Linked DNA regions of Lonchura striata. The protein of the gene in region 2 interacts with the protein of the main gene of each other region in a pairwise test. Links are inferred from orthologs where the notes say so. Each region holds a gene or a part of one and is shown on either strand. Other genes may lie near its edges.

What was found. The genes of interacting proteins can lie anywhere in the genome.
Region 1: the proteins of ARRDC1 (region 2) and ITCH interact in binary tests that used the Homo sapiens proteins (3 or more experiments, as listed by UniProt). The link is inferred for Lonchura striata from reciprocal best matches to the Homo sapiens genes ARRDC1 and ITCH.
Region 3: the proteins of ARRDC1 (region 2) and WWP2 interact in binary tests that used the Homo sapiens proteins (3 or more experiments, as listed by UniProt). The link is inferred for Lonchura striata from reciprocal best matches to the Homo sapiens genes ARRDC1 and WWP2.

The regions. Positions count from the first base shown.
Region 1 is NC_134619.1:13,573,454-13,581,042, forward strand, and holds the start of ITCH (E3 ubiquitin-protein ligase Itchy homolog), read right to left. Parts: upstream 3,016-7,589; 5' UTR 2,919-3,015; intron 1-2,918. UniProt on the Homo sapiens protein: Acts as an Acts as an E3 ubiquitin-protein ligase which accepts ubiquitin from an E2 ubiquitin-conjugating enzyme in the form of a thioester and then directly transfers the ubiquitin to targeted substrates.
Region 2 is NC_134624.1:4,150,798-4,158,091, forward strand, and holds the start of ARRDC1 (arrestin domain-containing protein 1), read right to left. Parts: upstream 3,013-7,294; 5' UTR 2,938-3,012; coding exon 2,820-2,937; intron 1-2,819. UniProt on the Homo sapiens protein: Functions as an adapter recruiting ubiquitin-protein ligases to their specific substrates. Through an ubiquitination-dependent mechanism plays for instance a role in the incorporation of SLC11A2 into extracellular vesicles.
Region 3 is NC_134615.1:23,108,439-23,115,527, reverse strand, and holds the start of WWP2 (NEDD4-like E3 ubiquitin-protein ligase WWP2), read right to left. Parts: upstream 3,016-7,089; 5' UTR 2,903-3,015; intron 829-2,902; 5' UTR 815-828; coding exon 745-814; intron 275-744; coding exon 127-274; intron 1-126. Other genes in the region: RNA-binding protein NOB1, read left to right, coding at 3,128-3,190, 3,304-3,436, 3,531-3,664, 3,794-3,865, 3,936-4,067, 4,156-4,386, 4,522-4,619, 4,701-4,845 and 1 more. UniProt on the Homo sapiens protein: E3 ubiquitin-protein ligase which accepts ubiquitin from an E2 ubiquitin-conjugating enzyme in the form of a thioester and then directly transfers the ubiquitin to targeted substrates.

The DNA.
Region 1 (7,589 bases), on a different chromosome or scaffold from region 2:
GTTGAGAATAGCTCAGGCGGGTGGGTGGAAGGCAGAAACTATCCGTTCCTAAACAGGAGGAGTAAAATAAAACTTTTTTTTAATAACAGCAACGTGCTGCCAAGTTTGAAAAACTATTTGAATAACCAGCACAACAAGATGTGGTATCATGTTTCCTCAGAGGGGAGAAAAAAACCCTGCTGTGCTTTGGTATAGTAAAAGCAGAAATTCCAGGCATAACTTGAGAGCTGGTCTTTTGAAACAGGGCCTTGGCTTCTTCAAAACACTCTTTTCCAGTTTGCTGCAATACTTTCATTTCTATTATGTGTAATTTGCAATTCTCATGAAGAAAAATTATCAATCCTTCAGCTCCAGCAACTCTGCACTACAGTGTAACCTAAATGTCATCAACTTAGAGACTCTAATTGACCAAGTCTCTGTTGCTTTAGTCTTCAGAGAGAAGACTCTCACCAAAATGTGCACACAGATTTAGCTCAGCTAACAGTACAACCAAGCCAAAGAAGGACTGCCTACAGTCTTTAAAAATACTCAAGTTATGAGACAGTAAAACTAAATTTCCAGAATACTCCCAAGCTAGACTATAATCATGACTTGTCTACGTCCTCTTCTGAGGAAAGCACTCACTTCAAAATGCTTCTGCAGCTGGGCAAAGTACAGTTACAGTAAGGAGCTGTGGCCAACACTCCTCTGGGTTATGCACACACCTTCACTTTCCTCAGCTGTGAGGGCACAAAGAAGTTCCTGCAATTACATGTAAGTACAGTAGAATGATAAAAACTAGAACATTACACAAACATAAGCGGACACCCAAAGAGAAAAGCTTAAAAATAAACTCCCAGAAGCTTAATTGTTTCCATGTGCAAGGGCTTTTTCTGTTACTCTCACCCTGCAGACTCTTTTCCTTGCTTTTAAGAAGAAATCAAATTGGTTTTACTGCTTGAAAAGTACTTCACTATGGCTGAATATATTTATCACTTTGTTTAAACAGCTTAAACTCACAAAATATGTTTATTTAGACACTATAATTGACTGATACTGATAATGCTGCTGCCAAGCATCTCTTTCACATGTTGTAAAATAGAAGGAAATTACTTTGTAAATCTCTCATGAAACATTTTTCAAGCAGTCTATGACAAGCTCTCTTAAAAAAAAATTATAAATTTAATCTCCTCAAGACAAACACTATGCTACTTTACTGCCTTTCTTCCTATTACCTTATGCTGTAGTTTTCCCCAAACCATTTTGAAACTTTAAAACAAAGAAATAAGGTAATTCATGTTTCAGGTCTGTGTCACAACACAAGAAATATAACTTTAAGAAGGGAGAGAAAACTGATGGAAGAAAAAGAGGTGATGCTGCTTAATTAATAAATTAATATAAATAATCTCCTCTCAATTTCTCTTAAGCCCCAAAATAACTTTAATCTGTAAGAAGCTTTTAAAGTTAGCACTCAGAAGTCTCAGTTATTTTCCATTCCAAAATTATCTTTCACATCTACTGTTGTTGTTTCAAAGACAAGAAAACTCACTTTGGGTCTGAATGCTACATATTATTCCAAAGATCATTTGGAGGTGAATGGATTCAGTATAGTGATTAAATGCCACCTAAATCACAACTAAGAATGCACACTAGTCACAGTCCAGACTTAAACAGCTGTAGTGAATAGCAAGGTAATTGTAATTAAATTACAACTGCTTTGGACTTTCACTTCAAGAAAACAGGAAAGAATTTACTGTTTTTTCCAACAATACATTTTTAAGCATTAAAAGATGAACCTTAGATGGCCTGTGATTCATGTTTCATTCTTAAACACCTGTGCCTTTTCTCAGGTAAATACAAGCAATTGCTGAATCTACTGTCACTCCCTCAGCAGAGAATGCCTTCTTTCAAATACCAGTCCAAATGTCTCTCCACTTCTCTTTGGAAAGGTTGACAGGCAGGGTAACAGAGACTAAACAAAACATTGAGAAACTCATGGCAATAAGCAGCCATATATTGGGAAAAGACAGTCTAAAATATCCCGGTTTCTGACTTCTTCAATTCTAACTAGGCTATAAAGGTAAGTTTTGCCAGGGATATTTCCTGAAGCATCAAGGGATAAGGCTGCCACAACACAGGTATCCCAAAAGCTACACCTGCCCCTTTCTCTGCATCACACACAGATCAGAAGGTCTTCTGACAATTTAACATCACAAATTATAGCAATTAAAACAAGCTGAATTCTCTAATATTAGAGCAAATTAGAGAAATCCATCCTCGAACACCTTTGTCTGCTTTTATCTCGACAGCATTGGCACACAAGGTCAAAGATAACCGGCGTGGCAGCGGAAGAGTTAACAGCCAGAACTTGTCCGCGTTTCCAAAATAGAGCGGTGGCACTAACGTTGCCATTCTGCCGTGTTTACAAGAGGGAACACAGTTCGGGATAAACCTCTGGCTGTAGTCACGCTTTATCGCCAGGACACATTCCTCCAATGTCCGGCTTACCCGGCCGAGATAAAGACACGGAACGCCCGGACACCTGGAAGAAGCCCCGCGACAGGGGGGACGCACACCGGGGAAGGAGGCTGTGCTGGAAGAGCTGCGGAAAGCACAGCCCTGAACGGAGCGAGCCTCCGGAAAGGATTCGGAACTGGAGGCACCGGGGTGCGGGCAGGTGCCCCCGGCAGCCGCGGCCGGGCGGTGGGGCAGACAGCGCGGGGGTCCCGGCAGGGCGCTGCGCCGCCCCGCGCCGGGCGCTGCCCCGCGGGGCCCGGGCACAGAGCGGCGGGTCCGCCCTCAGCGAGCCCCTCCCGGGCCGAGCGGCCCCTCCGGATCCGGGCCCGACCGCGGTGTCCCCGCGTCCCCCGTGTCTCCCCGCCGCGTCCCGTCACCAGCGCTACCCCCGTGCCTCCACCTCCCGGCCCCGCTCCGCTCACCGGCCGCGGCTCCCCCGTCCCTCAGGTCCAAGATGGCAGCGCGGCCCGCCCGGCCTCCGGCAGCGACTTAGCAAAGTCGGGCGCGATGTGCGCAGGCGCCGAGTCCCCCGGCTGCTGCGCAAGGACTACAACTCCCACCGTGCCCTGCGCCATGCATTGCGCATGCTCGGCGCGGGCCACAGGGAGTGACCGGCAGGGACCGTGAGGGACAATGAGAGGCCGTGAAATTCACGGCGACGAGTAGAATTCCATATCCTCTGGAGCCAGCCTGGGAGGGCTGGAGGTGTTCATCCGGGGAAGAGAAAGCTCCAGGGAAAACTCAGAGCGCCTTCTGAGTGCCGGAAGGGGCTTCGAGGGAGCTGGAGAGGGATTTTGAATAAGGGGAGTGACAGGACAAGGGACAATGGCTTCTGTTATAAATGAGAATTTATTCAGCCAGATTAAAAATAAAAATCATTTTATTTGCGGTCAAATTCTATTTAGTCAGCCACACGGAAAGGACAGAGCCGAGCCCGGGATCGACCCTGGATGTGCAACAAGGAGTCAGCCTCAGCAGAGGTTTTCCCCTATGCCCACACACTTCCATCCTGGCACAGGCGGTTTTTATAGGGAAAATTCCACCTGAGGCCAAGATTTGAGCAGTTAGTCTTTTCTTCTATTCAGAGTCTATAGGTTTTCTTTTTTTTGGTGATGAGGAGAAATAATTCAATGTCCAGAGTAGTTGAATTCTTGATGAGAGTTTACGGGAAGGCTGCATTCACATGAATCTGTCTGAGGATTTCCATGATATCCATCTTGGACGATCAGCACTGATGATAGTGATGATCAACACCTGGAGCCCAGACATGGCCCATCTCCTGGCCGAGCCACATCCTTTTACTGGTAAATCAGTTTCCAATATACACCCAGTCTGGCCTGCAAAGGGGGGGCGGGGGGGAGCTAATACAACGGGCATGATTTAACAAATATCCAATATTACATATTTCATACGAGGAATGGTGCGAATTATATTTATTACACATAACAGCTTCCCACTGCCGAAGGTCAGGTTTAGATGGAATATTGAGAAGAAATTCTTCGCTGTGAGGATGCTGAAGTCCTGGCACAGGGTGCTCAGAGGAGCTGTGGCTGGAAGTGTCCAAGGCACTGTTGGACAGGGCTTGGAGCAGCCTTGGACAGTGGAAGGTGTCCCTGCCCATGGCAGGGGTGGAAGATCCGGTGCCTCCAGTTCCGAATCCTTTCTGGAGGATCGCCCAAATCATTCCATGAATCTATGATTCCGTAAACAGAGTGTATATGTATGTGTGTGTATATTTTACTACAGTAAAAATCTTGGATAATCAAAGCACCCCTGAGGGCTTGGCTGGTACAGGAACACCTTGAGGAACCCATGGCCATCACTGGCCCTACGTTTCTGCAGTGACACCAGTAATGGGAAATCTCTGAGACCACAAAGGGACATCCTGCAAGCATGAGTCTATAACAGTCAAGCAACTGGGACATCACTGCTGTCACTGTGGGCATTGGGACACAAAACAAAGCCCTTTGAAAATAAAGTAACATTTGTGATTTTAAAGTGTCTGCTTCAGGTGCTTAAACCATTGATATTATTTAGCCTTACATAAAATCCTTCTTGTTTCAAGTGTATTTTTTCTTAGCCTGAACGCACTATTGCATAAGTGAATGCATAGAAATTACAATACACTTCCTCTTTTGACAGTGAGGAATGAGAGAGTCTATGTTCTGAAATCAGAGGAAAGAATATCCAGTCTTCAGAGAGTAGGAGAATATCCTCAATAATTCTTCAGAAAAATTATGCACTTTGCCAGTGCAAAGTTTAGCATTTTCTTAAAACTGGTAGGATGTGAAAATCCATCTTGTCTTCCACACATAAACTCCAATAATATCTCACAGCCACAATTAAGTGACTGCTTCTGTTGATAAGGCCTAAGCACAAAAACGTCTCGAACTGTTTCCCTGACAGACCAACACGTGTTTTGATGCCAATCAGCCATCTATGGTTCTGACTGGCCAAGGTACATGTGCACATCACTTCAGGCACAGAAATCACTTTAATTCCAGCACAGAACAATGTGTGCTGCTCAGCTAGAGGCTGAGTATGGAAAAATCAGGAGCATTGCGGCTTTGTCAGAGGTGGGAATTCATGGGAAGCAAGTTTGGAGCCAAGGTTACAGCCCAGTATAATGATAAGCAAATTGATCAGCTGAAATAAGGACTAGATTTTTGTATTTTCTCTAAACCTTTTCTATGCATCTTTAAGTCTCTATGTTCCTTTAGAGATATTTGACCATGTAGACATACATTTAAAGTTCCATAGTTAATGTTCTGTTCAAATTAATAATGATAAAAATGAGTTCTAAAAGCCTTGCTTAACAGAGATTTCTGTCTCATGCATCACCTACATAAACAGTGGTCTCTCATCCAGTTCCTGTCCTGGCCAGTGACACTCTGGCTGACTGCAGCTGGAGTTCCAAAGCTGGGCATCCTTTGTGGTGGGTTTGTTGTCTCCCAGCTGGCACATAACTCTGGTTTTGCAGATTGCCTGTGGTTTGATTCCCAATGGTGGGACCATTGCACTGTACCTTTCTCTCCAGCCGCCTGGGTTAATTTTTCCTTTAGCAGAATTGAGTGTTTGCAGGAAGAAGCCGGATGCTGCCCCAAGGACACATCCCTGTAGCCCCTGTAGGATCCAGCAGGGGTGCATGTACCCATCCCCAGGGCAGTGTGACCATTTGCAGTTTCTTTTTGTTGTACTTGGTTTTGGTAGGTGAAGGTTGCTAAAGCAGGTATGAATAACACTCAGTGTCTGTTTTTAAGAACATCACATCAGTTGTCCTCTGAGTTACTATCTTCCCCCTCCTTTTCCAACTGGCATTTCAGATAAAGTTCTTTTTTTCAACCTCGGCAGCCCTACTCTCTTTGTTTTCCAGCTTCTGATGCCCCCAGTTAAGTTCCATTTGTTCCATCTGCTCTGTAAAATTCATGAGAAAAAGACTGTATTCCAGATGCAGACTACTGATCAGTTTGTGCTTTCCAGGACAAGAGGAATGCAGAGCAATTGTCACATTCACACTGTTTCAGATATCATTTGCCTGAGTAAAAATCATGGCCTGTGAATCAGTGAACTGGAAGACCAAATAAATAATTACCACAGAATACGTGGTGAATGAAGATGAATATAATTGGGTGGCAGAAAAACTATGTATCCAAGATTTACCTTTGGGGAGAAGAGTATAATGCTTCATTATTGTCTTTTTTCCCCCTATGCTTTTTATAACTACAAGATACTCAGGCAGGATGGAATTTTCTTGCTATTACTGTCATAGCTTTCTTTTGACAAGTACAAACCCCAACAGATAGGGAACCTTCCTGGAGGATGATCTTGTGCAAAGGCTTGTCAGGAAAACTGAATGCTTAGTAGCTTTCCACACTTGCTGGGTTTGATATGGTGAAGCTGTGCTTCTGGGAGATAATTTCTGAGAAATAATATTTAATAATTTTCATAATATTTTTCTTTTATTTCTCAGTCCAGTCCAGACTGGTCAATGGGATTTGTACTTGTGGCAAAATATGTGTAGTGTTTATTCTTTGTTGGGCTATTGTAAATAATAATATTCACATCTCTAATGGAAACTTACCCTGTTGTAAGAGAACTGCCACACTCACTGAGTGCTGTTCGTGCTGAGAGCTGACTGGGAAGCCACTGAGGATAAGGGTCTGTGTGGCAGAGTGGTGTAAATGATTTCCATGTTTGAACCTTTTGTGTAATAATAAAAATAAAATTGTGTAATAATTGTGTAATAATAAAAATAATTTGTGTAATAATAAAAATAAAAAATGCAAGATCATTAAAATATTGGGATTCTGTTTGATTTTTGAGCAGAAGTCTAAATGGACATTGCTTTCTGATACCTGTGGGCCTTAGGTTCCTTCAGCTAAAGGGCTGGGACAAGGCTGTGTAACAGAAGCACTGAACATTCTTATTATTCTCCTATCCCTAGAGTACAGGATTCCCTCTCCTAAAACAGACCCCACCTTCATTCCCTTTGTTTTCCACTCAGCCAACTCTATTGACCTCACACAAGACAAACCTCTTCTTTCCAATGTTACATATTTTCCTAAGGGTTGCACAGCAAGTCTCTTGTCAAACTTGGAAACAGGGCTGGGTTTCTTAGCTCCTTTACAAATGTTTAATGATTTTTTAGTTAAGTGGTATGAGGGTTTTTGTTGTTGTTGTTTTGGTTTGGTTTGGTTTTTGTGTGAGGCACACAAAAATCCTGACAGAATCACTTAAATACAAAATAATTCAGGTAGGAAGGAAGCTTTGGAGGCCTCTAGATCCATCCCATGCTTGAACCAGAACCAACTTAGATAATGCAGAATAGGTCAGAGATAAATACCTTCAAGGCTGGAGATCGCACAGCCCCTTTGTGCCCTAGTCCAGTGTATGATGCCCCTTAGTCCATTTTATTTCCTTATATTTGTGATTTCACAGCTCTGCAAAGAGTATAGCTTATCCTCCTCACACCTTCCCAGCAGGCAGTTTTAGGCAGCTGTAAAGCATCCCTTTGCCTTCTCTTCTCCAGGCTGAACAAATTCAGCTCTCTCAGCAGCTGCTCATGGGTGAAAAGTGCATATTATATGATTGGC
Region 2 (7,294 bases):
TCCAGCTGTCCCTGCGCAAGCTTCCTGTAAGATTAATTATTCTTTGTGCACACACGTTTGATGATTTACCCAGCAAACCAGGCACAATGATCAGGAATTCTCCATTTCCATCAGCGCTCTCCCCTGAGGCTCAGAAGTTTTCTGGGCAGGTCCCTCACCCTGGCACAGGCACAGGAAGAAATGTGGCTCCTCAGAAGGTCCACATGAGTCACCAAGGACCAGTCAGTATTTGTGATGCTGCTGCAAGGTCAGCTGAAGAAGATGTGCTCCAGAACAGCCCTCAGTGCCAGTCAGCAGGGCTGGCACTGACGCCAGTCTAAGTGGGAACATCAATGATCCCAAAAAGGTGTGTCCCCAGCTACGCTGCCCCATGACCCAAGATTTCCCCCGTGTTTAGCAAGGCACAACGAGCTGTGTTTGTTTGCACTGTCACCTTTCAGAAGGTGTAATTTGCAAGAGCCAGAAGTTACCGTGTGAGGAGTCACCTCCAGGCTGGTTCCGGCTGTGATCTCACACACCACAGCACCGAGAAGTCACCGCGCCAGACTCGCCTGGCTCAGGAAATGGAAAGCACCAAATCGTGGTGCTGAGGGCCAGACCTGCCAGGGGTGAGACTTTGTGTCTTCTCCTGGAAGCAGTTTATTAGCCTGGAAAGTCACAGTTGGCCACAGAAGGTGTGGGGGGGCATATACAATGTAAAATGAGTTGATTCCACACAGCTCTCCTCACAGCCCAGTAGGAAGCCAGAGGATGTCAGGTTGTCTGATCCCTCTAGTGCCGAGCCCACAGTGCTCAACAGGGCTCACAAGTCTCTTTAAGATCTCTTTTGCTGTTACAGCAAAAGGATGTTTCAAGCAGCTACAGGAACCTCTTCCTCTGAGGGTGGGACACTTCCTTCATCCAGGAAGAAGGAGAGGGTGCCCAAGAAATGAAGTATGGAAGGTTTAAGCACCAGCAGGAGGGAGAACACACAGCAAAGTGTCACCCTGTGCTTGGCAGAAGTTGGTTTCACACCCAAATGTGACTTAACTGGGTGAGTTCTGACACCAGTAATGGAAAGTTTCTAGCCCAGCTCATGAAGCCACTGTACATGAAACAGTCTAGAAGAGCTGCTCAGTGATCTCAGCACAACAGAAGCATCAATCACATGGAGCCCACATCAGATTTCGGCTCAATGCATCTGACAGCTTTCCTAGAGCTCTTACCCAGCTCTTACCAGAATCCCTGCACTAGCCCCAAACACCAGATCCCACAGCAAAACCCCTCCTGAGTTCAGGACCTGTACTTAACACCAGACCCTGATACTTCTCCGAATCAAGGCAATAAGGATGCAGAAAGGAGGTCTAGAACAAAGAGAAGCCTTTCTCCTTCCCTACAACAACACCAGGAAGCAGAGGAGAGCTGGTGTAGAATAGAACCTGGCAGGTCCTCCTCAAATGGGAGTTGTAGAGGCAGCAGCAAGTAGTTTTGGCCAGCTGGCAGCACAAAGGGCCAGCACACCAAACCCTCTAAGGCCAAACTCTCATCCCTCCCAAGAAGCACCTTCAGGAATGGATGGAAGTCAATGGGATGGGCCGAGGGAAGTCAGCCAGACTTCATTAGGAACATCTTTGCTGGAAGTGCATCCAGGAGTATTCTCCAAGGAGATAAACGCTGGATCTGCGACTGTTTTGCTCTGACAGGAGTTTAACAGGCTACAAGTTTACACTTGTCCTAGATACTTTTTTTTTCCACAAGAAGCTTCCAAAAGCTATTGCAGACAACTGGGAGAGGTGCTCTCAAAAGCAAGGCACCGGCAGGCAGAGGCACCATCATCCAGGCTGACAGCTCTTGAACAGAGACTTCACATTTTACATTACTTGGTCTTTTTTCCCCCCTCCAATAATTTGTTACAAAGGAAGCAGCATGCACACACGAGAAGCAAGCAAGACCTCAGGGAAAACAGCAAATTGGTTCACATTTCCACAGCACTGAGCACAAAGCTGACTTGCAAATGCGAATGACTTCTCTCAGGCGGGGGAGGAAGCTCCCAGTTTGGATGATCCGAGCCCAGCCAGCTCATTTCCCTGCAGTCCAGCCCCATCCCTCTGCTCCGACGGACTGCACCAGCCACGAGCATGGCCTGAGCCTTGCGTGGAGCAACAACAACTCCTGCTCCAGACCACTGCTGGCACTCACAGGACCTCGTACACACCGCGGACATCTCCCACACTCGCAGAGCCACAACTCCAATGCCCCAGTTCATTCGAGACGTTACAACACGGCTGCTGGCTGCGGACGGTGCCTGCGAGCCGGTGGGTGGGTGCCGCTCCTGCCGGGACACGGCATCGCCCACCTCCGCCCAGTTCCCTGCCCAACACATTCGCGTCCGTCCGACCCAGGGCACCAGGCTCGGGGCTGTGCCGGGGCGATGCCGGCAGCCCTGGGAAGCCGCAGGACTCCGGGAAAGCCGAACGAGACGGGCGAGCCCCTCCGCCACCTCCCGCTGCCACCCTGGGCACCCGCCAGCTCCGGAGGCTGCCGTGGCACAGCCCCGCGCTGGGGCGTTGTGGGAAGGGGGTTGGGAGGATGTTTCCTTATTTTATGGGATAGGAGCAAAAAGTAAGAGGAGGAAGCGGAGGAAGGAGGAAATAATCCAGCAGGTTGCTCCCATCAGCCCCTCCCGGCCGCCGCATGGCAGCGGGGGCGGCAGCGATGGGGCAGCCCCGGAGCCGCCGGTCCGCAGAGCCGGGGGAGGAAGCCCGGCCGCGGGCCGGGGCAGCCCGCGAGCCCCTCCCCGGGATATCCGCCCCGCGGGGCACGGCAGGCCGCGGGCTCACCTCGGTACTGCAGCGAGCCCGAGAGCCGCACGGTGACGGTGCCGGCCAGCGGCTCGCCGGGGCTGTAGACGACGCGGCTGTCGCCCAGGCGGATCTCGAAGAGCTGCACCTTGCCCATGGCCGCGCCGGCCCGGCCGCTCCGCTCCGCTCCGCTCCGCTCGCACCTGCGGCCCGCGCTGTGCCGGCCCCGGCGGGCGGGACCGCCCCGGCCCGCCCCGCCCCGGCCGCGCTGAGGGAGCGGGGCGGGCCCGGCGCCGCGAGTGCGGGGGTGCCGAGTGCCCGGGGAACGGGGCAATTGTGCGGCCAGGCTGTGAGGGAAGGGTAGCTGATGGACCCCTCATTGCTGCAGGGTCGGGCTATGGAGTAAGGGGTAGCTGATGCAGCCCTGACTATTAGAAGGGAAGGAGCCGTGGAGGAAAGGGCAGCTTCAGGGGCTGGGCTGTGCTGGGAGGGAAGGGATTGCCTGTGAGGTCAGGCTGGGAGGGAAGGAGCAGATTGTGGGGCTGAGCTGTGAGGGAAAGAGAATGGTGGGTCCCTGACTGCTCTGAGGGAAGGAGCAGGTTGTGGGGTCAGGCTGGGAGGGAAAGGAGCCACTGTGGGGCTGGGCTCTGAGGGAGAGAAGTGGTTGGGGCAGGCTCTGAGGGAAAGAAGGGGTTGTGGGGTCGGATGTGAGGGAAAGGAGTGGTTGTGGGGTCGGGCTCTGGGGGAAAGGAGTGGTTGTGGGGTCGGGCTCTGGGGGAAAGGAGTGGTTGTGGGGTCGGGCTCTGGGGGAAGGAGCTGACTGCCCAACACAGGGCCGTCTTGCCTCCTGGTGATCCCTGCTCCCTCTAATCTCATTTCCTCCCTGTAATTCTCCAGCCCCAGCTGTCACCTCTCCCTGCTCCTGTTTGTATGACCCCAGTTGCTTTAAGTGTCCTGTAAGAGGCAAATACAAGGGACCTGACAACAAACTGGGACTGGGGCTGAAGAGTCATTGATGACCCCGTACTCTCTGTGGATCAGTGGGTGAAGGTCAGAGTGTTCCAGGAAGCCAGGGATGACCAGCGCACTTCATACATTTGCCATGTTCTCCCCTCATCTCTGCCTGATTGAATAAAAACCATCTGTAAAACCCACACCAAAGGCAGCGCCAGGAAAAGGCACCTCCCGGCCGCTGGCGAGCAGGCTGTGTACACAGGCAGAATGAATAAGTGTAAAAGGAGCTGTTTATCTGCAGAGCACACCCAGCCCAGACCTGGCTGGACAGACAGACATCCTCCCACGGCCCCACAGTGACACCAGCCTGGGGATGTGGGGCTGTGGGACTCTCCGTGCTGCCTTGTGGTGGCTCTGGCAACCTGAAAACCCTCACAAGGTACCAAAGGAGTTCGTGTGCTCCAGGCACACAGGGCTCCTGCTGGGAAGCCTTTCCAGGGCCTCCCTCCTCCTCTGGTTTCCAGGCTGCGTGTAGTCACAGGCTACAGACACACAACAGTCTTGTGCCAAGGCTTTCTGCAGCTCATCTCCTCCCGCAGGGCGTACCCTGGGATCCGTCCGCACACCGCTCTCCTTGTGCTGCCCTTAGCTTCTGTTTTCCCAGGCTAGGCACGCCAATTTGCTCCAGCCTTTTTATTTTGTAAGACGAGCCTGCAGCCTCTTTCATCAGTCTCTGCAGCCCCTATTTAGCTCTGCCAGCAAAACCAAGCAAATTAGGAGAAGAGAGGGGGGTTGAAAACACCCTGAGCTACAGCAGATTTTACTGAACCCTTTTTCCCCATGGAAAGTAGCCAAAGGATCATGCTTTGAGGCACAATTAGGGCTACACCATCTCTGGGGCAGCACTGGCACCCTTGCCCAAGAGGGACACCACACATGTGACAACTCAGGGTGGAAAAACCCTTCACCAAACCCAAGCCCCTTGTGCCATGCTGCAGCTTCACCTGACATGGAGATTTATGCACTTTGTTTGCAGAGAAGATAATTTTAAGCACAGCAAAGTTGCTCGCCCAAGGTCACAACGTGAGTAAAAAGGATTCCTGCATCAGGAGCTGAACAAAAGCACCCAGGCACAGCTTCAGTTCTGCAAGGATTTGTGCTAAGATACACAGAGTCCCTCGTCATGCCATGGCCAGCAGCAATGCCACAGGACAGCTCCATCCCCTGGATCACAGCTACACTGGGTAGAGCAGTCTGTAAAATGTAACTGGATTGATATAATTGAAGCATGGAGAAGAAAAGGTTTCAGGGAGACTCCATTACAGCCTTCTAGTATCTTAAGGAGGCTTTAAAAAATGGAAAGAGAGGGACTTTTTATATGGCTAGGTAGTGACAAGACAAGGGACAGTGGTTTTAAACTGACAGAGAGCAGGGTTAGATTGGATGTTAGGAAGAAAAATCCTTCTTAGGGGAAGGTGAGGCCCTGGCACAGGTTCCCCAGAGGAGATGAGGCCCTGGCACAGGTCCCCCAGAGGAGCTGTGGCTGCCCCTGGATTCCTGGAATTGTGCAAGGCCAGGCTGGACAGAGATTGAAACATCCTAGGATATAGTGTAAGGTGTCCCTGCCCATGGCAGGGGATGCAATGAGAGATGATCTTTAAGTTCCCAAACCAGTCTGTGACTCTATAATTCAATGTATACAATGCCTGCAGTGCCAGGGCGCCCATCATCCCCCCAGTGATGCCATATTCAGGAGGATTTTACTCACTGCAGTCAAAACGTGTATTTACATTCCTACCTCCCTGCTCACCCCAGAGCCATTCCTCTTATCTATTTGTGTGAGGACTCATTGGAGTTAAAACTCAGAGCAGTTTAAAAAAAAAGTAAGCTAAGGATGTTTAGTAAACTGCCATGGTTTGCTTTCTGATATTTTTGACTATTGTTTTGCTTAAAAAAAAAAAATGTTTTGAAGAGTTTTGTTGTTGTGGTGGGAAATCTCACTTCCTCTGCATTCTGTGTGCTCTCCCTGCTTCCCTTCCCCCTTATTAAAAGGGAAATTTAAAAAGAGAGAAGAAAAATGTCAAGACAAGCTCTAGAATAAAATTTTCCTTTCAGATGTCACCACATTCCCCTAACTTCAAGGAACATGAAATTTTCTGACAAAGAACATAGTAGTTATTAAAAGGGAAAAAAATTATCAATAAACTCCCTCTCAGCAGCACCTGAGCCGGGCTTTGCCAGCAGCACAGACGAGCTGGAAGCACAGGTGCTGGCAGAGCAGCTGTCAGTGGTGCCACATGTGGGGAAAATGTGCCCACGGAGGGCTCAGCTGTGGCCGCAAGTGCGAGACGCACAAGCCTCCACCATTAAGTCACAGACATTGCTTGTCACTTCTGTTTGTTCCCCTCTTGTCTTTCCAGGAGTTTCCAGACGCGGACGCTGACACGGAGGAGGCGCAGCCCCACCTGAGCGTGCCTCAGTTTCCCCTGCGCCGGGGCTGCTCCGGGAGAGGCAGCGCGGAAATGCCTGGGCGCACCCGGGCCGTGGCTGACGCCGCGTTCCCGGCGGCGGCAGCGGCGCGGCTCCCCTGGGGCACTTCGTACCTCCAGGTCATTTCCACCTGCCCCGCGGCTGCAGGGGACAGGGGCGAGCCTGGCAGGCGGCACCGCGGGGACACCCAGAGCCTCTCCTGCTCTCTTGTGACAAGATGAGTCTGTCTCTCCGCCCTCAAATTCTCTTTTGCGTTTGCAATCTCTCCCCCCACTCCTACTTGGTTTGGCGAGGGCGTGACTGGCGTGAGCCCACCCCGCCCCATAAGGGCAGGCACCGGAGCGGCTGTGATGGAGGGGGAAGTAAAGCAGCAGAGCTTTGTGCAAGTTGACCTTTAGGTTTCTAAAGTTTCCTTTGAACGAAAAAAGACACATGTGAACTGTCGTGGTGGGCTCCCCGTGCTACCTACACCACTGACAGCCATTCTGTATTCCTGTGTACATAAAATCCATTACCTTAATATATTTATATTACACAGGTTTATTACCTTTCTAAATAATTTCCCTGCTTCACTCAGTGCCTCATCTCTTCTCAGCTGATTTGCCGGCGGGTAAACTACGTCATCTGATACCAACAGCAACAACAATTACTCATTTGTTTCAGGCTGACACCTTCCAGCAGTTCAGGCAGAGGTGGTACCGTTCAGCCACACCTCCCTGCAGAGTCTCTCTCCTCGCAGGAGGCCACAGCCAAAGTCCCCTGTGCCCCTTCTGTGGGTTCATCTGCAAGGCAGCTCCCAGGCAGCTTCCCCAAGGGTGGAGCTGGATGTCCCACCAGTGGAGTACAAATCTCTGGGATCAATACATGATAGAATTATAGACTGGTTTGGGTTGGAAGGGACCTTAAAGACCATCTCATTCCTCCTCCTACCACGGGCAGGGATGCCTTCCTCCAGACCAGGTTACTCCAAGCCCTGTTCAACCAGGCCTTGGTTGACACTTCCAGCTGCTCTGGCACAATGTCCTGGGACTCTGCAGCAGCTCCCCACTGCTGCTGGAGTCCACCAGCCT
Region 3 (7,089 bases), on a different chromosome or scaffold from region 2:
CCACCCAGCCTGGCTGTCTCTGGCAGTGTCCCCGTACACGGGGCAAAGCTCTGCCACCCGAGTGGCAGCCAGTGGCACGGCAGGGCACACGGGGCCGGCCCCTGACCAGGGGTCACACAGACTCACAGGGTGAGGATCTCGTTCCACAGCAGCTCAGAGACCCCCATCTGCTTCCCCGTCTTCTTGGTCTCACTGGGCAGCCCGTCGCCAGCCACCTCCACATAGCAGTTCATCCGTGCTGAGCGGCTCTGGGCCTTGGGCTTCACGGACACCACTGGGCAGGGACGAGCACAGGTCAGGCCTGCGGGACACGCTGACCCCTGCCCCGTCCCTGCCCTGTCCCCCAGCCCGCCCCTGCCAGCTCGGGTGCCACACTCGCAGCAGAGCACTTGGAGAGGGGCAGCAGGGAGCAATGCTCCTGGTGGCAGCGATGGCTGGCATCAAGCCCTGAGCACGTCCCAGCCTCACCCCTCCGAGGGGACTGTCGCTGTCCCCACGGCCACCTCCCTGCCCCAGGGCAGGGGCAAGCCGGGCCGGGGCAGCGCCAGGGCGGCGGTGTGGCGGAGGGGCAGGGCGGGCTGCGGCTCCCCGGGGCGCGGCTCCGGGCGCCGGGAGCCATCTCGCGGCCACGGCAGCACCGGCACGGCCCCGGGCCCGCGGCCACCACCCCCGGGCCCTGCTCCCCGCGGGCAGAGCGGGACACGTTCCCGGCAGGGGCAATCCCGGAGGGGCAGCAGGACCCACCTTTCACAGACAGCGGGGACTTCTCGCAGGGCGGCCCGGCCCTGGCCCTGCTGGAGCTGGCAGCGGCCATGGCATCACCCCCGGCTGGAAAGGAGAAGGAGACACTCAGCCCCGCTCAGCCCCGCTGCCACGGCACCCAGGCACGGCCCGAGGCTGCTGCAGTGCCCGGAAAAGGGCTGGGCAAGACCCGGGGCACACAGGCTCCTCTCCTGATGAACCCCCCATGCCAAAGGCAGCGCTGTGTCCCTGGGAGAGCAGCCCCTGCATGGCAGTGCCACGGGCTGAGCTGGGCACTGCCACTCCAAACACCTCTCTGGGCACCTGAACCCCTGAGCCACAGCCCAGGGCTGCTGCGGGACAGAGCAGCCACCAAAGCCTTGCCCTGGGGGACACAGACTCAGCACACATGATGGCAGGGACACGGCAGTGCCGGGCAGACACGGCAGTGCCACGGGGACACGGCAGTGCCACGGGGACATGGCTGTGCCAGGACCAGCTGGACAGACAGAGGTCTAGTCACAGCATGAGGACCACAGACCTCAAGGGCAGCCCTGGCTTCATTAATCCCACAGGATCACTGAGGCTGGGAAAGGCCTCCAGCACCATCGTGGGACGCGTGGCCAGGGCGGGTACCCGAAGCAGCGAGCAGAGCGCAGGGATGAGCAGCCAGCTCCTCCTGCCGCTCCCAGGAGCTGCAGAGCACGGGAGCCAAGCTCCCAGCCCAGCCCAGAACCGCCCGGCCAGGCAGTGCCAGCCTCCCCTCCCCAACAGGGAAGCACGAAAACGGGGAAGCAGCTCCAGCCCCTCTCCCTGTGCAGGAGCCTCTTCCCTGCCCTCTCTCTTCATCCTCCTTGAACCGTCCCAAGCTCCATCCCAGGGCAGATCCCTGTGAAATCCCCTCTCCCAGGGTCACAGCAAACCTGCCTGGCAGCCCAGGGCCTGGCTGTGCCCTGTACAGCCCCCAGCTCTGCCTGCAGGTGCCCGCTGGGCACTGCCCGAGCACTGTCCTGGCTCCATCCAGCAGCAGCCAGCGTTCCCGGACACTGCCCAGCCTCCTGGGTCACTCGTCCCAGGGATCCCAGACCCACCCCAGGGATCCCAGACCCATCCCCGCTATCCCGGACCCATCCCAGCCATCCCGGACCCATCCCAGCCATCCCAGACCCATCCCAGCCATCCCAGACCCATCCCCGCTATCCCGGACCCATCCCAGCCATCCCGGACACATCCCCGTCATCCCGGCCCACGGCTCTCCCCGGGCTCCCGAGGATATCGGATCCTGCTGCTGCTCCCGTCCCCAGCTCCCCACTGCGGGGATTCCACCGGGGCCGTACCCAGCCCTGCCCCGCCGGGGCTCCCTGCCTCCCTCCTTGCCCTCCCGGCTCTTCCCCTTCCCCCGACTCCGCACTTCTCCGTCCCTCGCTGTGACAGCGCCGCTCTCGCCAGCACCTCCGGCTCCCGGACATCGCCCGGTGCCCGCTGCCGCTCCCCGGGCACCCCCAGCGCGGCGGGGCCGTGACCGGGCCGGCCCCGGGGCGCTCCCGCCCCCTCCGCCCGGCGGGATCCCCTCGGCCGGGCCGGGGCCGCCCTTCCTCCCGGGCTCCCCGTTCCGCCAGCCCGGCCCGGCCTCGGGACAGCCGCGGGGCCGCGCCCGGGCGGCCGACACCGAACCGGGACCGGGACCGGCCCCGCACAGAGCCGGGCCGGGCGCGGCAGGCACCGCGCACGGGAGGCGGCGGCGAAGGGGCTGCCCGCGGCCCCGCCGGTACCGGGCCGGGACCGGCACAGCTGAGCAGCTCCCGGCGGCCGGAGCGCCCCACCGGGCCGTGTCCGCCCGATGGACGGGAGCGCCCCAGGCTGGGCCGGGAAGCGAAACCGAGCCGAGCCCGTCCCGTCCCCGTTCCGGTTCCCGTCCCCATTCCGATTCCGTCCCGTTCCCGTTCCCTTTTCCGTTCCCGTTCCCGTCCCGGTCCCATCCCGTTCCCATTCCGATTCCGTCCCGTTCCCGTTCCCTTTTCCGTTCCCGTCCCCGGTCCCGGTTCCGGTCCCGGTCCCGTTCCCGTTCCCGTCCCGTTCCGTTCCCGGTCCCGTTCCCGTTCCCGTCCCCGTCCCCGTCCCCGTCCCCGTCCCCGTCCCGTTCCCGTCCCGGTCCCGTTACCGGCAGCCGCTCCTCTCCCGCTGCCCGGCTCCGGCTCCCGCCGTCATGTGACCCCGGCCCGTCACGTGACCGCGCCGGCCGGAAGCGCTCCCGCGGCGCGGCGCCGCTCCCGGCGTGCCCGGCCGAACTACAACTCCCGGCGTGCCCCGTGCCCGGACCACAACTCCCGGCGTGCCCCCCGCGGCGCCGCGACGGCGGCCGGGCCGGGCCACGGGGCGCGCGGACATGGCGCGTGTTCCGCACGTCGTGGCCGACACGGGCGCGTTCCTGAGCGCGGCCCCGCTGCAGGTACCGGGGACAGGGGGACAGCGGGGACACCGCGGGGACACCGCGGGGACACCGCGGGGACGGGGGTGGGGAGGGTGAGGGGCTGCGGGCCGGTGTGACGGCGCTGCCCGCAGGACGTGGCGGACGCGCTGTACACCGTGCCCGAGGTGCTGGCCGAGATCCGCGACCGGCGGGCGCGCCGCCGCCTGGCCGCGCTGCCCTGCGAGCTGCGGGTGCGCCGCCCGCGCCCCGACCTGCTGCGGCTCGGTGAGTGCGGCAGGGCCCGCCCGGCCCCTTCCCCGCCCGGCCCCTTCCCCGCCCGGCCCGGCCCGGCCTGACGGCGCCGCTGCTCCGCCCGCAGTGACCGAGTTCTCCAAGAAGACCGGGGACTACCCGAGCCTCTCGGCCGCCGACCTGCAGGTGCTCGCCCTCACCTGCCAGCTGCAGGCCGAGATCCACGGCCCCGGCAGCATCCGCTGGGAGCCGCAGGATAAGGTAGGATGGGCGCGGGGTCCCGGTTCCAGCGGGGCCCGGGCCCCAGTTCCAGCGGGACACGGAGCCCCGGTTCCAGCGGGGCCCGGGCCCCGGTTCCAGAGCCCCACCGACGGCCCGTGCCGCCCCCAGGTGCGGCTCAGCTCCACCCTGCGGCACCCCGAGGCTCCCCTGCACCTCGCCGGTTTCCACCTGCCCGCCAAGGTAAGGCCCGGCGGGAGGGCGAGCCCGGCCCCGCGGAGCCGCGGCTGAGCTCGCCCGTGTGTGCCCCCAGCACAAACCCGCGGGGAAGGGTCCCCGCCAGCCCGGCCCGGCCCCGGCCCCGGCCGAGAGCGACGAGTTCGGCTCCTTCCTGTACTGGCGGCCGCCCCTGCCCAGCATCGAGGAGGAGCTGCAGGAGCTGCTGGTGAGAACCTTCTGCAGTCTCGCTCTGCCTCTCTGCCGGGTCGTTCCGACCCTCCGGGCCGCCCTGACCATCTCCCCCCGCGGCCCAGGCCATCACCGGCAGCCCCGAGCCCCCCGAGGAGCGCCGGGGCCCTGCAGACGGGACCAGCGCCGGCGAAGAGGAGGAGGAGGAGGAGGAGGAGGAGGAGGATGAGGAGAGCGATGACGAAGGCTGGATAACTCCCAGCAACCTGAAGCAGGCCCAGCTGGACGCGGGGCACTGTGACACTGCTCCCGTCGGTGTCCAGGTGGGCTGTGTCACCACGGACTTTGCCATGCAGGTGGGTGCCGAGCTGCAGGGCTCTGGGACAGCTCCGTGTGTCACGCAGCAGGGTCTCAGTCCCAGAGGCCTTGCAGAGCCTGCAGGGCTCCGAGTGCCCCAGCTGCAGGTCCCAGCTGTGTCCCCGCTCTCGCAGAACGTGCTGCTGCAGATGGGTCTCCACGTGCTGGCCGTGAACGGGATGCTGATCCGCCGGGCCCGCAGCTACATCCTGCGCTGCCACGGCTGCTTCAGGTGCCAGGGCTGGGGCTGAGCCCGGGCTGAGCCTGTGTTCACGGCCCCAGGAGCTCTGAACCCCCCGTGCCCCCCTCGCAGGACCACCTCGGACATGACCAAGGTGTTCTGCCCCCACTGCGGTAACAAGACGCTCAAGAAGGTGGCAGTGAGCGTCAGCGACGACGGGAGTCTCCACATGCACTTCTCCCGCAACCCCAAGGTGCTGAACCCCCGGGGGCTCAGGGTGAGTACCTGGACAGAACCCCAGACTCGCTGAGGTTGGAAAGGACCAGCAAGAGCATCAAATCCAACTTGGGACTAATCCTCCCCTTGTCAGCCAGCCCTGAGCACTCAGTGCCAGGTCCAGTCATTTCCTTGCACGCCTCCCAGGATGGGGACCCCACCTCCTCCCTGGGCACCCCTTCCCACCTTGAACAACTCTTTCTGTGAAGGAATTCTTCCACTGGGATCCCAGGGATGGGAGCCCGGCCTGTGGCTGGCAGGCTGGAAGGAATCAAAGCAAACTGCTAACATCCTCCAGATGTTGCCCTTGGACCCCAGGGCTCTGGGGCTGGGGTCACCTGGGGTCCCCGGAGCCGGGGCTGACCCCGCTCTCCCGCAGTACCCGCTGCCGGCGCCGCAGGGCGGCAAGCACGCCAACAACCCGCACCTGGTGGAGGACCAGCGCTTCCCGCAGCAGCGCCTGTCCCGCAAGGCCCGGCAGAAAACCGACGTCTTCGACCCCGACTACCTGGCCGGGGCCTCCCCCTTCGCCGAGAACGACGTGCACAGCCGGGCCGCGCACCTGCAGCTGCGCGACGCCGCCCTGGGCGCCGGCCGCCGCCGCCTCAACCCCAACGCCGTCACCAAGAAGTTCGTGAGGAGGAGGTGAGGGCGGGACGGGCCCCGGGCACACCTGCCCAGGGCTGGTGCTGGCTCTGCCAGGGCCGCTCCCAGCACCTGGCACGGCTCAGGCCGTCCTGTCCCCGCTGCGCTGGTGCCCAGAGCCGCCGTGACGGGGGTGACGGGTTTGGGGAGGCCCCAGCACGGGGAGGGCGCGGGGGCTTCCCTGGGCACCCCCGGGCAGGGGCTGTGTCACCCAATAAACACCAAACCCCAAAGCACCGTGGCTCAGTCCCATTTCTGCGGCTGCCTGTGCCTTTCTCTGAGCCTCGAGGAAAAAGGAGGCTGGGACGGAGGGAGGGAGGAGTTCTTGGATCGTTTGTCCCACGGGATAATGAGCTACAGAAGGACAAAACCCCAGGGCAGGGGCTTGTGTCCCACCCTTGCACTGGGCGATGCCCATGGCTGAAGGGGGAAACTCTGGGATCTGCTGAAATCTTTCACAGCTGACTGTTGGTCCCGGCTCTTGCTGCAGTTTCTCCTTAGCCCTGCTGAAATTGTTCAAAATAAGGAAATGCCTGACAGCAGCTGTGGCCCCTGGTGCTGGGGAGGTCACAGGTTGGGAACAGCCAAGGGGAGCACAGCTGGGCCTCCCCAGCCCCAGGGCACTTCCAGGCTGCCAAAGCTGCAGATAAAGGGCACTGGGTAAGGCACGCTCACATCCTGCTGAGGATGGGGTCACTGCAGCATCTTGGCTTTGGACTCCTGGCCTCACCTCTCTGGGCAGACTGCCTCTCCCCCAGTCCCCAAAATGACATCCCAGGCTCTGGAAGCTGTTCCTTTGGGAACTGTTCCCTTGGTCACAAGCTGGGGGCTGGGTTGGGCAGCCCCCAGGGGTTACTGGGGTCCCACACCACCGAGTCAGTGTGGTTCCCCAGGACGTTCTCCTGCAGCAGCTGCAGCACCCCAGGCACGGCTCTGGAGATGCCCTTGGAAAAACCATCACAAGACTTTACAGTGTAAAATGAAAACTTTCATCGTTTATTCTCGACTGCAGCTGTTTACAGAAATATAGTTGCGAGTATACAAATGTCCCAATAGAAGCAAAATATTTTTTTTTTTAATATTCAACAAGTTATCACAGGAGAGCTAAAAACATAGATGCAAATAAAATATCCCCTCATAGACAAACTGAAAACACCGGGAATCAGTGCTTGGAAAACCCACCTACGAAAGCCATATACACAGAACTGCACGAAGGAGTATCTGGTGCTACTTTCACATTGCAGGACACAGAAGAGGCAGCTCAGCGGTCGAGGGTGCACCCAGAACTTCTGGCAGGCAGGGAGAGCCCACCTGAGGTGCAGGGACAGAGGTTGGAGCTCTGCTCTGCAGGGGTTGGAGCTTAACTCAGCATCAGCTCAGATGGAAATAATTCAAATTGCCTCCTTTTATCCAGAATAAAGAAGCCTCAGGAATGCTGCAGGCTGCTAAGGATACTGGATGGGGATCCCAGTTCTGCAACACCCAAAGAGCCACTTCCAAACAGGAACTTCCCTCTGGACACGTTTTCCCAACGGGCAGCTCCGTGGCAAAACAAAGCCAAGGCCTTTTCCCTGTCAGGTGAACACAGGAGCCCTCCCTA